3 linked regions of the Diceros bicornis minor genome follow. The protein of the gene in region 1 binds, or shares a complex with, the protein of each later gene. Links are inferred from orthologs where the notes say so. Each region holds a gene or a part of one and is shown in the gene's direction. Other genes may lie near its edges. The genes, in order: AKAP13, MAPK14 and NOD2.

Evidence for each region.
Region 2: AKAP13 (region 1) and MAPK14 share a complex: the UniProt entries of both Homo sapiens proteins name them as parts of the signaling complex. The link is inferred for Diceros bicornis minor from reciprocal best matches to the Homo sapiens genes AKAP13 and MAPK14.
Region 3: AKAP13 (region 1) and NOD2 share a complex: the UniProt entries of both Homo sapiens proteins name them as parts of the signaling complex. The link is inferred for Diceros bicornis minor from reciprocal best matches to the Homo sapiens genes AKAP13 and NOD2.

What each region holds. Positions count from the first base shown.
Region 1 is NC_080744.1:89,553,624-89,557,368, forward strand, and holds the start of AKAP13 (A-kinase anchor protein 13), read left to right. Parts: upstream 1-1,130; 5' UTR 1,131-1,330; intron 1,331-3,745. UniProt on the Homo sapiens protein: Scaffold protein that plays an important role in assembling signaling complexes downstream of several types of G protein-coupled receptors.
Region 2 is NC_080753.1:28,813,984-28,817,728, reverse strand, and holds the start of MAPK14 (mitogen-activated protein kinase 14), read left to right. Parts: upstream 1-1,580; 5' UTR 1,581-1,951; coding exon 1,952-2,067; intron 2,068-3,745. UniProt on the Homo sapiens protein: Serine/threonine kinase which acts as an essential component of the MAP kinase signal transduction pathway.
Region 3 is NC_080771.1:4,262,549-4,266,293, forward strand, and holds the start of NOD2 (nucleotide-binding oligomerization domain-containing protein 2), read left to right. Parts: upstream 1-971; 5' UTR 972-1,021; intron 1,022-3,745. UniProt on the Homo sapiens protein: Pattern recognition receptor (PRR) that detects bacterial peptidoglycan fragments and other danger signals and plays an important role in gastrointestinal immunity.

The sequences.
Region 1 (3,745 bases):
CAGGCTCTAAGAGAAGACCATGGATTATCACACATTAGGCTTAAGTGATTTTTAGGTTAGCCCCCTTGCTTTTCAGGAGACTGAAGTTCTTTGAGGAGGAGTGACCTGAGCATAGTGGGCTCCTTGGTGGCAGAGTCAGGACTAGGATGTAGGAGTTGCCTCTCTTTGTGTCACCTTTTAAATATTGATCAGGACAGGTTAGAGTGATGTGGAGGAGAGTGAGCAGCATGACGAGGTGATTGGGAAATAATGTCACATGAAGCACCAGGAATGTTTGCCCTTGGTTTTTTCACCTGTGAGGGTGAATTAAGAAAATATATGTGAGAACCAGATCCACTTACAGGAAAGCATATTTTAGCTCTAGGCTAACTAACGAAGTAATGATTTGACATGATAGGCATTTTCCCCCTAATACGCATTAAAATAAACACACAATTATCAAAATGAAGAAGTTTCTTCGTGTACCAGTGGACCACATTTTGTTTCTCAAAAGCCACCAGATGAGTTCTGAAGTCCTTTGCAACTGGAAGAATGGACGATTTTGTGGCGATCAAGCAGCCAAAAGTTCACAGAACGCACTGTCACAATCCTGATGCCGCCATAGACCCACCCATCCACCCATCTAAAACACTTGTTGAACACCTAGCAATGACTCTCCTAGGCCCTGGACACAGTGAAGACTAAACTCCACTTTCTGATTCCAACCGGAGGGAAATAGAAGAGTAAATGATTTCGGTATGTGTGGTATAAAGTGCTACAGCTCAGGTAAGCACCGGCACACAGAGGAAGGGCGGTTTCCGGACATAGGGCGGAAAGGAGAGCGTGGGTGGGCATTTCCCAGAGCAGCCTCTGCCAGCCACCCCACTTTGATCACTTTGCCGCCGCGCAGCAGCGGCGGCGGTCAACCTCAACCTTCCTTAGCAACATGAACGCTCCGCCCAGCTGCCTTCCCATTGGTCTCACGGAGCTTGATGGGCAGCTCTACCGTGCAATCCCAGCTCGTGGTCCTTGGCTCCGCGCTTACTCATGGGAGGGCTCGTAGGCGTTACCGCCCTCCCCAGGTGCCCCGCCCAGCCCCGAGCTGCTTGCGGCGCATGCGCTGGCGGGCTGGGGCTGTGTGCAGGGCCAGCGCGGAGCCGGAGCAGCCGCGGTGGAGCGCCTGGGCTTCGCCGAGACCGCCGTGCCCGCTCTTCGCTTCTGCTCCCGCAGCTACGAGCCGCCGCCGCCGCCGCCGCCGCCGCCGGGGTAGCGGCCGCCTATTGTCTTTCTCTGCGGCGAAGGTGCGGAGCTGTTCCAGCTCAGCCCGCGGGGGAGCCCCGGGCGCCGCACGGTGAGAGCGCAACTTAGTTGGCGGAGTTGGGGGAAGTTTTGTGGTTTGAGGAGGGGTCGCGGGCGGAGAGGACGGGCCCTTCCCCCTAAGGCCGCTCCTCGGGGCGGGGGCCCGGAGGGGGGCGGGGTCCGGGATGAATGGGCGGCCGCGGGGCGCCCGCCGGCTCTGCGGCCCCCTCCTCCCTCCGCGGCCACCCTCACGCATTGTCTGCTCCCGGGCCCCGCGCGCCTCCCGGCTCCCGCAGCCCAACTTGGGGGCCGCCGCCACGCCGGGGTGGGGGGCGCGGCCGCCTTGCACGGCGTGAGTGCCCCTTCAGGCGCCCCCGGGCCACGCGAGGCCTGAACCCTCGGCCCCAGGCTTCCCTGGTCGGCTCCTCCGTGGGCCCCTCCCGTCCGACGGAGTCCGCGAACAAGTGTTGCGGACGCGAGGGAGCGGCTCCCCGGGGCCGGCGGGGACCGTAAACACGCCGGGCGCCCGCCTTCGGGGGCGCGGCCGGGGACCCGCGCGGGTCGGAGACGTGCAGCCGGAGGGGACCCGCTCCGGGGCCGTGCAGTGGGCTCAACTCTACTGAGTTCAAGTGCAGCCGTACTTGGAGACCAAACAAAACATTCTTTTTGTAAATACGGCTTACTGACACTTTTGTTTTTTTTTGCAAAGTCAACTAGTATGTGAAGAGTTTTAAAAGAATATGGGGAAAACCCTCAAAATTTTTTTTTCATCTGAAGAAAGAATAGACAGGTTTTTGGATACAGTTTTTACAGAAAAATGACTCCATCACATTAAGTTTCTAGATCTTTCTGTGCACTCAGGAATTCACAATGAAAGTTGGATTGAGCAATATTTTGGTGTTCATTCTCAGCTTTTACACTCTTCGGTGAAGTTATTTTGGGAGTTTATTGCCTCAGGCGTATAGAAGTAAAGGAAAAAAATGTGTGCCTTTTTTTCTTATAACCCCCCCCCCCCTTTTATTTTCAGAAGCAGCAGCTTATACTGTTTTTCTAAACCGTTGGATTTCCCGGATCAGGACAAATGCTACCGTTTTTGAAAGATCATTTTTTGCAAGTTTGTAAAGGAGTTATGATGAGCTGAGATAAATCACTGTTACCGTTCTTGTATTCCTTCGTGGTCTCTTGGGGGTTTGCAGACTGCATTAAGTACAAGGCTTATCAAGTTTTGGGTGCATCGATTCTACTGAATTTGCTTCATTTGGCTTATGATGTGAGAATAATTCTGTTTAAATCTCCCAGATGGAAGTAGCTTAAATGTCTGTCACATTTGTAGTGGAACAAAATGACCAGAATGTGTTAATATCAGTTGTTATATTCCTTTGCCATCTGCTAAATTAAAAAGAAGAATTTGAGAAATACTGTGTGTCAATTTGCTTTGATTGATTTCTCATGCTAAGTGAGTAATGTAGAGAAGCTTTCCTGGGTTTTTCTGGTTTGGTTGGCTGCATTTTGCTTTGAAAAACCAGCTTTCTTCACCTGATGAAGCTCAAGAAGAATGTCCTTATGGCATAAGCATTGTACTTTTGAACTACAGCAACAAGGTGACTTTTAGGAGTCACAGTGCTTGCTCTCAGGGCTTTCCTTCCTGGTTGTGTGGTTGTGTGTGCCTGTGTGGGTGGATTGTGGGGAGGGAGCTTGACAGGTTGGAAGGGGTTGTCAGGGAGGGACATAATATAAACAAGTATTACTTACAACATAATGTGACAGCTAGGCCAGTTGCTTTCTTTCTCTAAGCTGTGATAGCATGTTATACATACTTTTGTTTTAGGATTTCTAACAGTTCATTTATTTGCTTGACTAACGGTAACTGTATATGTAGTATAAAGGGACTTCTCTTCTAGTCTAACTCCTTGAGGGCTGTGATGGGCCTTATTTCTTATTTAGCTTTGTACCCTCTTTGCCAGGAAGGGGTCTTAACACAGTGCAGGTGTCCAGTATGTGTTTGAGTTGGGTGAAGTGCTTTGTATTAGCTAGTGGTAGTGCACATAGAACCACTAACCCTGGGGACTTGTCCAAAATAACACTTCAGTTGCTGAAATGTGATGAAATTTAGTTTATTTCGAAAAGGATTCCTAACCTTTCTCTTATCCTGTTAATTGTTGAAAAGAAGTGAGGTTTAAATAGTGCACTGTGGATTTTGAAAACTAGTTCTGATTCAGAAATTTTCTCCGTTTTTTGGTGAAATGATTAAGAATCATTTCTGAATAAATCTGAATCTGAATAAACCTGAATAAACCCACTCACATCTCTGCCTATTCCTCTGTTGTGAAGTGAGGAGGTAGCACAGTTTAGAAGCATGTGCATTCTTTGGAGCGAGGTAAATTTGAGTTCAGATCCCCACATTGACTAGTTATGTAGCCTTGAGCAGGTCCCTTATCCTCTCAGAGCTTTGGTTTCCTACTCTGTA
Region 2 (3,745 bases), on another chromosome or scaffold:
TCCACTCAACACCTTGATTCCCACTCCCACCCGTCATGTCTTTACAGCCACATTTTTGCTGTCACTTCCTCCTTCAGCTTCTACTACTTCTTAGAAAGCTCCCTAACATGCAGGCTGGCTTGGAACATTTTCAAGCAGCGTGTTTTCATAGGCATGAGAATCAGGGTAAGTCACATGGAATCCAAAAAAAAAAGCTTTCCACGAATCGCCTATGACCCTGGTTTGGAGTTTTATTTATTTTTTCCTTGAGGAGAACTGAGGATCCTGCATCACCTCCTAAATTGAGATCATGGTCATTGTTCATAATTTGTTCAGCAAATATTTATGGAACACCTTTTATGTTCTAGACACTGTGCTAGATGCTGGGACAAGATAGGCAAAGTCTAAGCACTCCAAGGAATGTATAACACAAAAGAGAATGACCATGGGAAGTGATAAGGAGTGTCCTGGCTTGGACTTAGTTATTTCTAAGGGAAATAACTAAGAGACTAAGATAGGGTCCAATTCTTCTGCTTATTGCAACAAGCTTCAGCATAGGAATAGGTTGGTAACAGTGTGGGTAGGTATGGGGTTATAACACCTTGCCCATTCACATTTATTATCTTGTTGAGCTTTACAAATGACCCTATTAGGTGGGAGTGTAAGGCAGGAATTCTCTTTTGCATCAACTGGAAGTGAGGTCTAAGAAAGGTCAATTGACTTGCCTAATGTGACACTGCCAGAAGACCACTCTCTGCCCAGTTCTTCTTCCTCTGAGAGGCATGAATCAAATGCTTAAAATCCTCGTCACTGGAAGCTCTTCAGGGCAGAAGTCAGTTTCAAACCCTCAGGGTAATGGTTTTAAAAACGCTTCTCAAAGGGAGATGCCAGAGACTTTCCTGAATCAGAATTACCTGGAGCCTATTGTAAAAATGCTCATTCTTGGTACCCGTCAGGGACCTATCCAATTAGATTCCCTGTGGGTCCTGGGAATCTGCATTTTTAAACCCCCAAGGTGATTCTTCTGCACATAAAAGCTTGAGAACTACTAGGAGAGTTTGGGTGGAAAACCTCAGCCTTAATGCAGAGCTAATATTTGCTTTGGGGACAGATTTTTGTGAGAACTTCGAACTAAGCCATATGTCCTTGAGCGGATGGAATGCAACGGCTTTCGGGCCGAAAATCTTTCTCTTTTATGTGCAAGTACTTCTTGGAAATTGAGGGTTCCGCTGAGCAGTCGCTCGGCTGCTGGTGGCTACCCAAAGTTCAAAGATCGTTTGGCTCTTTTCCCGACACCCTATTTGTCACTGTCGCTTTCCACCACGGGGCCAGGCATTTGCCCCACCGACCACTGTGCGGCGCACGCGGCATGTGTTGCCTGGGGCACCCCTCTTTCCCGGGTCCGCCTTCGCGCCTTTAAGAACAGTCTCTGGGAGTTCCTCCCTCTGGTTGCCAGCTGTTGCTCTCTTCTCGCGAGAACTGCTCCTCCCGTCCTCTCCCCTCATCAACCCCCTCCCATGGGCAGGTTCCATATTGGGTAAAATCTCGGCTCGCGGAGAGTCCCGGGAGCTGTTCTCGCGAGAGTACGGCGGGAGGCTCCTGTTCGCTGGCTTTGGAACGGCGACCACTGGAACCTCCCCGGGCGCTGCAGCTGGAGCGGTAGTCCTGCGGCGCAGCCAGAGTCGGCCTGGTCGGGGAGAGGGTGCAGGGAGAGCGTGGCGGGCGCAGCCTTGAGCCCCGGAGCGCGCCTCTGCCCTTAGCAGGACTCGCTCCTGTGGCTGAGGCGCGTCCAGGCGCTGCGGTGACAGCGGCCGCGCGCGCGGGAGTCTGCGGGGTCGCAGCAGCCGCACCTGCGCGTGCGGCCGGCGCGGGGTCCCCGCCCGGCCGGGCGGGCGACGAGGGCCGGGAGCGGGTGCGGGCGCAGGCGGGTCCCCGCTGGGCCACCTCCTCGCCCCGCGGCCGCCGCTGGAAGATGTCTCAGGAGAGGCCCACGTTCTACCGGCAGGAGCTGAACAAGACAATTTGGGAGGTGCCCGAGCGTTACCAGAACCTGTCCCCGGTGGGCTCCGGCGCTTATGGCTCCGTGTGGTGAGTGTCACCGGGCTGGGGCCGCGGTGGGCTGGGTGGCCCCTCATGTCCGAGAGCCAGGCCTGCTCCCACGGCTCGGCGATGCACCAAGCGGCAGGAATTTTCCTTGGGGGAGGCCATCGATACCCCTTCGACCCTTGTCCTGCACGCCCTGTACGCCTTGCACCCCTCACCCTGCACGCCCGGGTAGGTGGTCGACCGTGTGCAGGACGCGGATCCGCGGTGGGTGGTGGTGCTGGAGCTCGGCCCTGGCTCGCACCCTGTGCGTTCCCCTCTTGGGGGGTTGCTGCTCCGGGGACAGGCGCCGGCGGGGGCCTCTCTGCGGGGTGTGTCTGCTGGCGCCGAGCACAAGGACCCTCCCGGAGGACTCCGGGTGCCGGAGCCCGCCCTCTGCGCAGACAAGCCCGGGAGCTGCCGGGAGACGCAGAAGGGCAAAGCCCGACCGGGAGACTGCGGTCATCCCAACGAAAATGACGACGAAGGGCGTTCTCTCCGGGCCCTTTTGCAGACCTCTGTCGAAATCCCATTTTCAGAAGCGTTCTTTTTGAATTCGCAGCGACCCAGAGAGCTTAAAATACCGACTTTATCTCGGGGAGCGCGGTGCCAGCTTGAGTGGTGTGTTTCCGATTCGGTTGAAAGCGTATTTCCTTTCCGCAGAGGGGGGGTGGGTGGCGGTGCCTGCAGGAACGCTGCGCTCGAGAAACTGGCGGCCTCGCTGATTAGTCACAGACCACCGCTCATTTCAGTATTGTTGGACACAACAGTTTTCTCATTTGAGCAAGTGAGATTCAGATCCGTTGGACGCTCTCAAGATCAAAAAGTTGTTAACAATGCTGGGAGGTATTGTAAATATTTTTTAATTGCGATAATTCTTGTGAGTACTGTGTTTTTAGACTCCCTTAGAGAGTTTGCAGGGAACTTATCTATCTTTATAGCCTGAGTACGCGATGGTTTTAATAAGGATATAGAATATATAGGAAAGGAAGGAAGAGGCATTTTTCACCTGTAATTCACACTGTGGGTTTTAAAATAAATTGATACCATAAGATTTCCCGACCTGAAATATTTCACTAACTTCTCTGACTTTCAAGGTTTTATGCACTGTATTTTAGATTTACTATAATTTGAGAGCTTTGAAACTAATTCGTGTAATTCGTGTACGTGCGTCGTTTGAAAAAGGGCCTATAAAATTACTTTTTGTTTCACAACAAATTCCAGGCTTTTGGACGTGTTAATCTTTAAATGGAATTCCTGTGTTTCTTAAAGTCATATCACGAATTTCCTGTTTGGTAGAATCTTCTGGGTAATTGAGATTGTGCAATTGCGTCCAGCAACAGATCATATTGCATTTTCTAGTTCAAGCTGCTTGAGTTATGTTGTTGATGGTACCCTGCTTGATATCTTTTTCCCATTTTTATAGTATGGCAGTTTGCATTTTAAGGGAATTTGCAGCATTTTTATATATATATGTATGTTATTGATTTGCTAATTTTCAGAGATATATTTGGATCATTGCTCCTTTAATAGCTTATTAGTTTGCCTCCAGTTTTCATTCTTGAATTGACATATTAATATCTGTAGTACCAAGTTTTTCTTTCCAATGAAATTTAAATTTTAATGGAGTGATACGGCAGAATAGCTCAACTATGAGGAGTTTAGTGTACTTGCTTGCAAGGTT
Region 3 (3,745 bases), on another chromosome or scaffold:
ACACCATCCAGGATTTCCCTGGGGTAGTGTCCATCCTTGGAACGCAGCATTCAACCTTCAACCTCAGCCGACTGTGCACCCCCCTGCAGGTATTTATCTGGAGGCAGTGTGGGGTAGTGGTTAGAGCACAACCTTTGGAGCCAGGCGCCTGGGGGCAAATCTTGGCTCTGCTGTCACTACTTGGGCAGGCGAACACACTTGTCCGTGTCTCAGTTTGTTTCTTTATAAACTGAGGATAATGATAGTCACTACCCTGCAGATAGGATTAACTGAGTTAAGGTGTGTACAGCCTGGCACATAGTAAGCTCTTTGTTAATGTCAGGATTTTCCTTTAAATTGAATTCCATTTAAAATTTTCCAAATACAAGTGTTTTAAAAGGAACGTTTATATTAATACCTTCGATAGAAAACCAGTGTGGCGTGCTCGGAAGAATAGGAAATCATAAAATAAAATAGACTTAATTTAATGGAAAGGAAACAGTGCTGTCCAGTTCTGGTTAGATATTGCCGCGGGGAGGACCGGCAGTGTGAGAGACGCTGTGAGCGCTGAACCGAGACGCTGCTCCTGAACTCCAACGGAAGGGTGCCAAGGACAAGGAAGAAAGAGGAACTGTGATGCCCTCGCCCACCACGTAACCCAGCCCGCTCCAGAGGCGGCGGCTCTGGGACTCCACAACGTCAAGGCTTGAGATGCCCGAGGACTTCCCGACTTGTCCTGAGGGCCTCTCGGGTTGAGAGGGGCGCACCTGGCGGGTCACAGCACAGCCGCCCCGCCCCGCGGGCGCCCGGCCCCCTCCCGCCGCTCTCCGCCGGCGCTCGGAGCGCTCGGGGCGGCCGGGGGCGGCGCCGGGGGCGGGGCGCGGGGACCGCAGGGGCGTGGCCGGCCGCGCAGGGGTGGGGTGGGCGGCAGCGGGGGCGGGTGCCCGGGGACAGGGCCGGCCCGCGGCGGGGGCACGGCGGGCGGACCGAGAGCCCGCGCAGCCCGGGCCGGAGCGGAGCGGGGCCCGGAGTGGCGGCCGCGGTGAGTGCCCCTGAGCCGGCGCGGGGACGGCGGGGACACGGCGGGCGCCCAGGCTCCCGCCCCGGGACTCGGACAGCTGGCCTCGGAGCCGGCCCGGCCGCCAGGCTTAGGGAGGGGCTGCCTCGGTTTCCCCTTGGGGGAGTCCCGGGGACTAGATGGAAGGTAGAAGGAAAGGGGGCGTCTCGAGGATGGGGAGCCCCCTGGCGGGCCGTGGCTACAGAGGATCAGGGGGCTTGGGGATGTGGGCGGAGCTTCCAGACCCCAGGAGCCTTTGAGGTCTGGGGAGAGCTGTGATTTGGGGATGAGGGGCTGTGGAGGGAGAGCCTGCTTGATGAGAAGTCCTGAGCTCCGGGCTGGCCTGGGAATGAGGAGGCCAGGCTTCAGGTCTCAGCAGAGGCTACTCTCTGTCGAGTCCCTTCCTCTCTCCCGGCCTCAGTTTCCCCATGTCTGTGAATGGGTGGGTGTAAGCGAGAGAGTGCCTCAGGGGAGTCACCCCATGGGAGTCTCCTCCCCCTCCTTGGTGTGTGTGGAGACCCTGCTCATTCCCCATGCCGGCCCAGACAGGCCCTCACCAGGGGCGGCCCAGCATCGGATTCTCTGTGTCTTTTGCCCTCTCCTTTGCCCCTCATGTTGGGGAGCAGCCGTCTGGTCTGCTTGCTTTCCAACAAATGAAAAAGCCCCCAAATCTCCCTGAGGAGAGCCTCCCCCAGCTGACCCCTGGCTCTGGGTCTGTTCTCGCTTCTTCCCCTCTTTCTGAGCCCTTAGCTTCTCCCTGCCAATGGCCTTGGTCTCCCCATGGGCTGTTCCCGGCCATAGGATCCTCGTCCCATAGAGGGGACAAGCCTGCCGTGTCACCTGTCCCCTGACGCTGTGGTGAAGAAGACCAGAGTGACATCCCTGTTGCCTCTGTTCTCCTGTCCCAATTGCTCCGCCCCTAAGTTTGTTGGTTACTCAGATCTTTGCCAATTTGCACCCTGGGATCTGAGGCTGGAAGGGACCCCAGCCAGCCCACCTCCCCCCAACCCGGTGCAGGATCCCTTTGCTGCATTTGCTCAGGGACTGCGAGCTCGTTCCTTATGAGGTGGCTGTTCAGCGTCCCGCAGCTCTCGTCTCACTTAGCTGAAATCTGTGCCTTGCTGATTCCACCCCTTGGCTCCACTGCTGCCTTCTGGAACCTGCGGTTAATTCATTCTTTTATTCTTTCACACAATCTTTGTCGGTGAGACACTGGGGATATCGCAATGAAAAAATCAGACCCAGCTCCCTGCCCTCACGGAGTTCTTATTCTAGAAAAGAGTGGGACAGCAGGCAAATAAGTAAATACATGGTATGTCAGGTGGGGGGAAGTACCATGGAGAAAAATAAAGCAGGCGGGGAGATGAGGTGTTGGGGTGGGTATTGCAATTTTCTATTGCCTAGTCAGGGATGGGCTCCCTGAGGTGGTGACCACTGAGCAAAGCCTTGAAGGAGGGAGGGGTGAGCTCTGGGGGGGAAGGGACAGTGCAGAGGGAAGAGCTCTGCAGAGGAAACAGCACCTGCAGAGGCGCCCCGGCAGGAGCATGCCCTGCAGGAGCAGGTCTGGCTGTTCCAGGAACAAGGAGGAGTCCAGTGTGGCTGGAGCAGGGTGGTGAGGAGCCAGTGGGGCATTAGTAGTAAATGAGTGCAGAGAGGTAAGAGGGGAACTGGGGGTCCAGTGCCTGGGGCCTTGAAGGTCACGGCGAGGGCTGTGGTTTTCACTCTGAGTGCAAGGGCAGCCGCTGGAGGGCGTTGAGCAGAGAAGTCACCTGCTCTGACTTAGGGGTCAGCAGGTGCATCTGGCTGTGGCGGGAGAAGAGACTGTAGGGTGTGAGGGCAGAAAGGGGGGACCGGTGAGGGGCCCACTGTTGTCATTCTGGGAGAGACCATGGGGGCTTGTACCCATGGCGTAGAGGTGGCGACATAATCTCGGTTTCAGATTTGGGATATATTTTGAAGGTAGGGTGGATAGGATTTGGGGTGCGAGAGAAAGGTGGAGTCGAGGATGACTTGGAGTTTCTGGGGCCCGAGCATCCAGAAGTTTGGAGCTGCCATTGACTGAAATGGGAGCTGTTTAGGGGAAGATACGGAGTTTGGTTTTGTGCTTGTTAAGTTTGAGATGCCCATTAGGCATCCATGTGAAGATATCCAGTAGGCAGCTGGGAAAAGTTTAGTGGAGAGGGTGGAGCAGGAAACAAATTTTGGGCGTCCTCACCATTTAGCTGGCATTTAAAGCTGGAAGAGCAGGTGGGCTCGCTTAGAGATGGAGTGATAGGGAAAAAAGAGGTCAAACCAGGGGATTCCGGTGCTCCCAGCGTTAGGGACCAGCCAAGGAGACAGAAAGGGCAGCCGGTGAGAGGGGAGGTAAAATCAGAGGGCTGGGGTGTCCTGGACGGCAACACAGAAAGTGCTCCAAGGAGGAGGGAGGGAGCGATTATGACAGCCGCCTTTGACAGAGCAAGCAAAATGAGGGCTGAGAGCGGAGCAACGTGGAGGTCACTGGTGACCACGCTGAAAGCAGTCTGGGGGGCGCGGGGGACCGTCATTGGAGGGGATGGGGGAGGACTTGAGGACAGCAGTACAGACAACAGACAAGGAGTCCTGCTGTGAAGGGGGGCAGAGAAATGAGGTTGGACTTGAAAGGGGAAGTGGGGGTAGAAAGAGGGCTTTACTTTTAGAATGGAGAAATTACAGTCTGGTTGTGTGCTG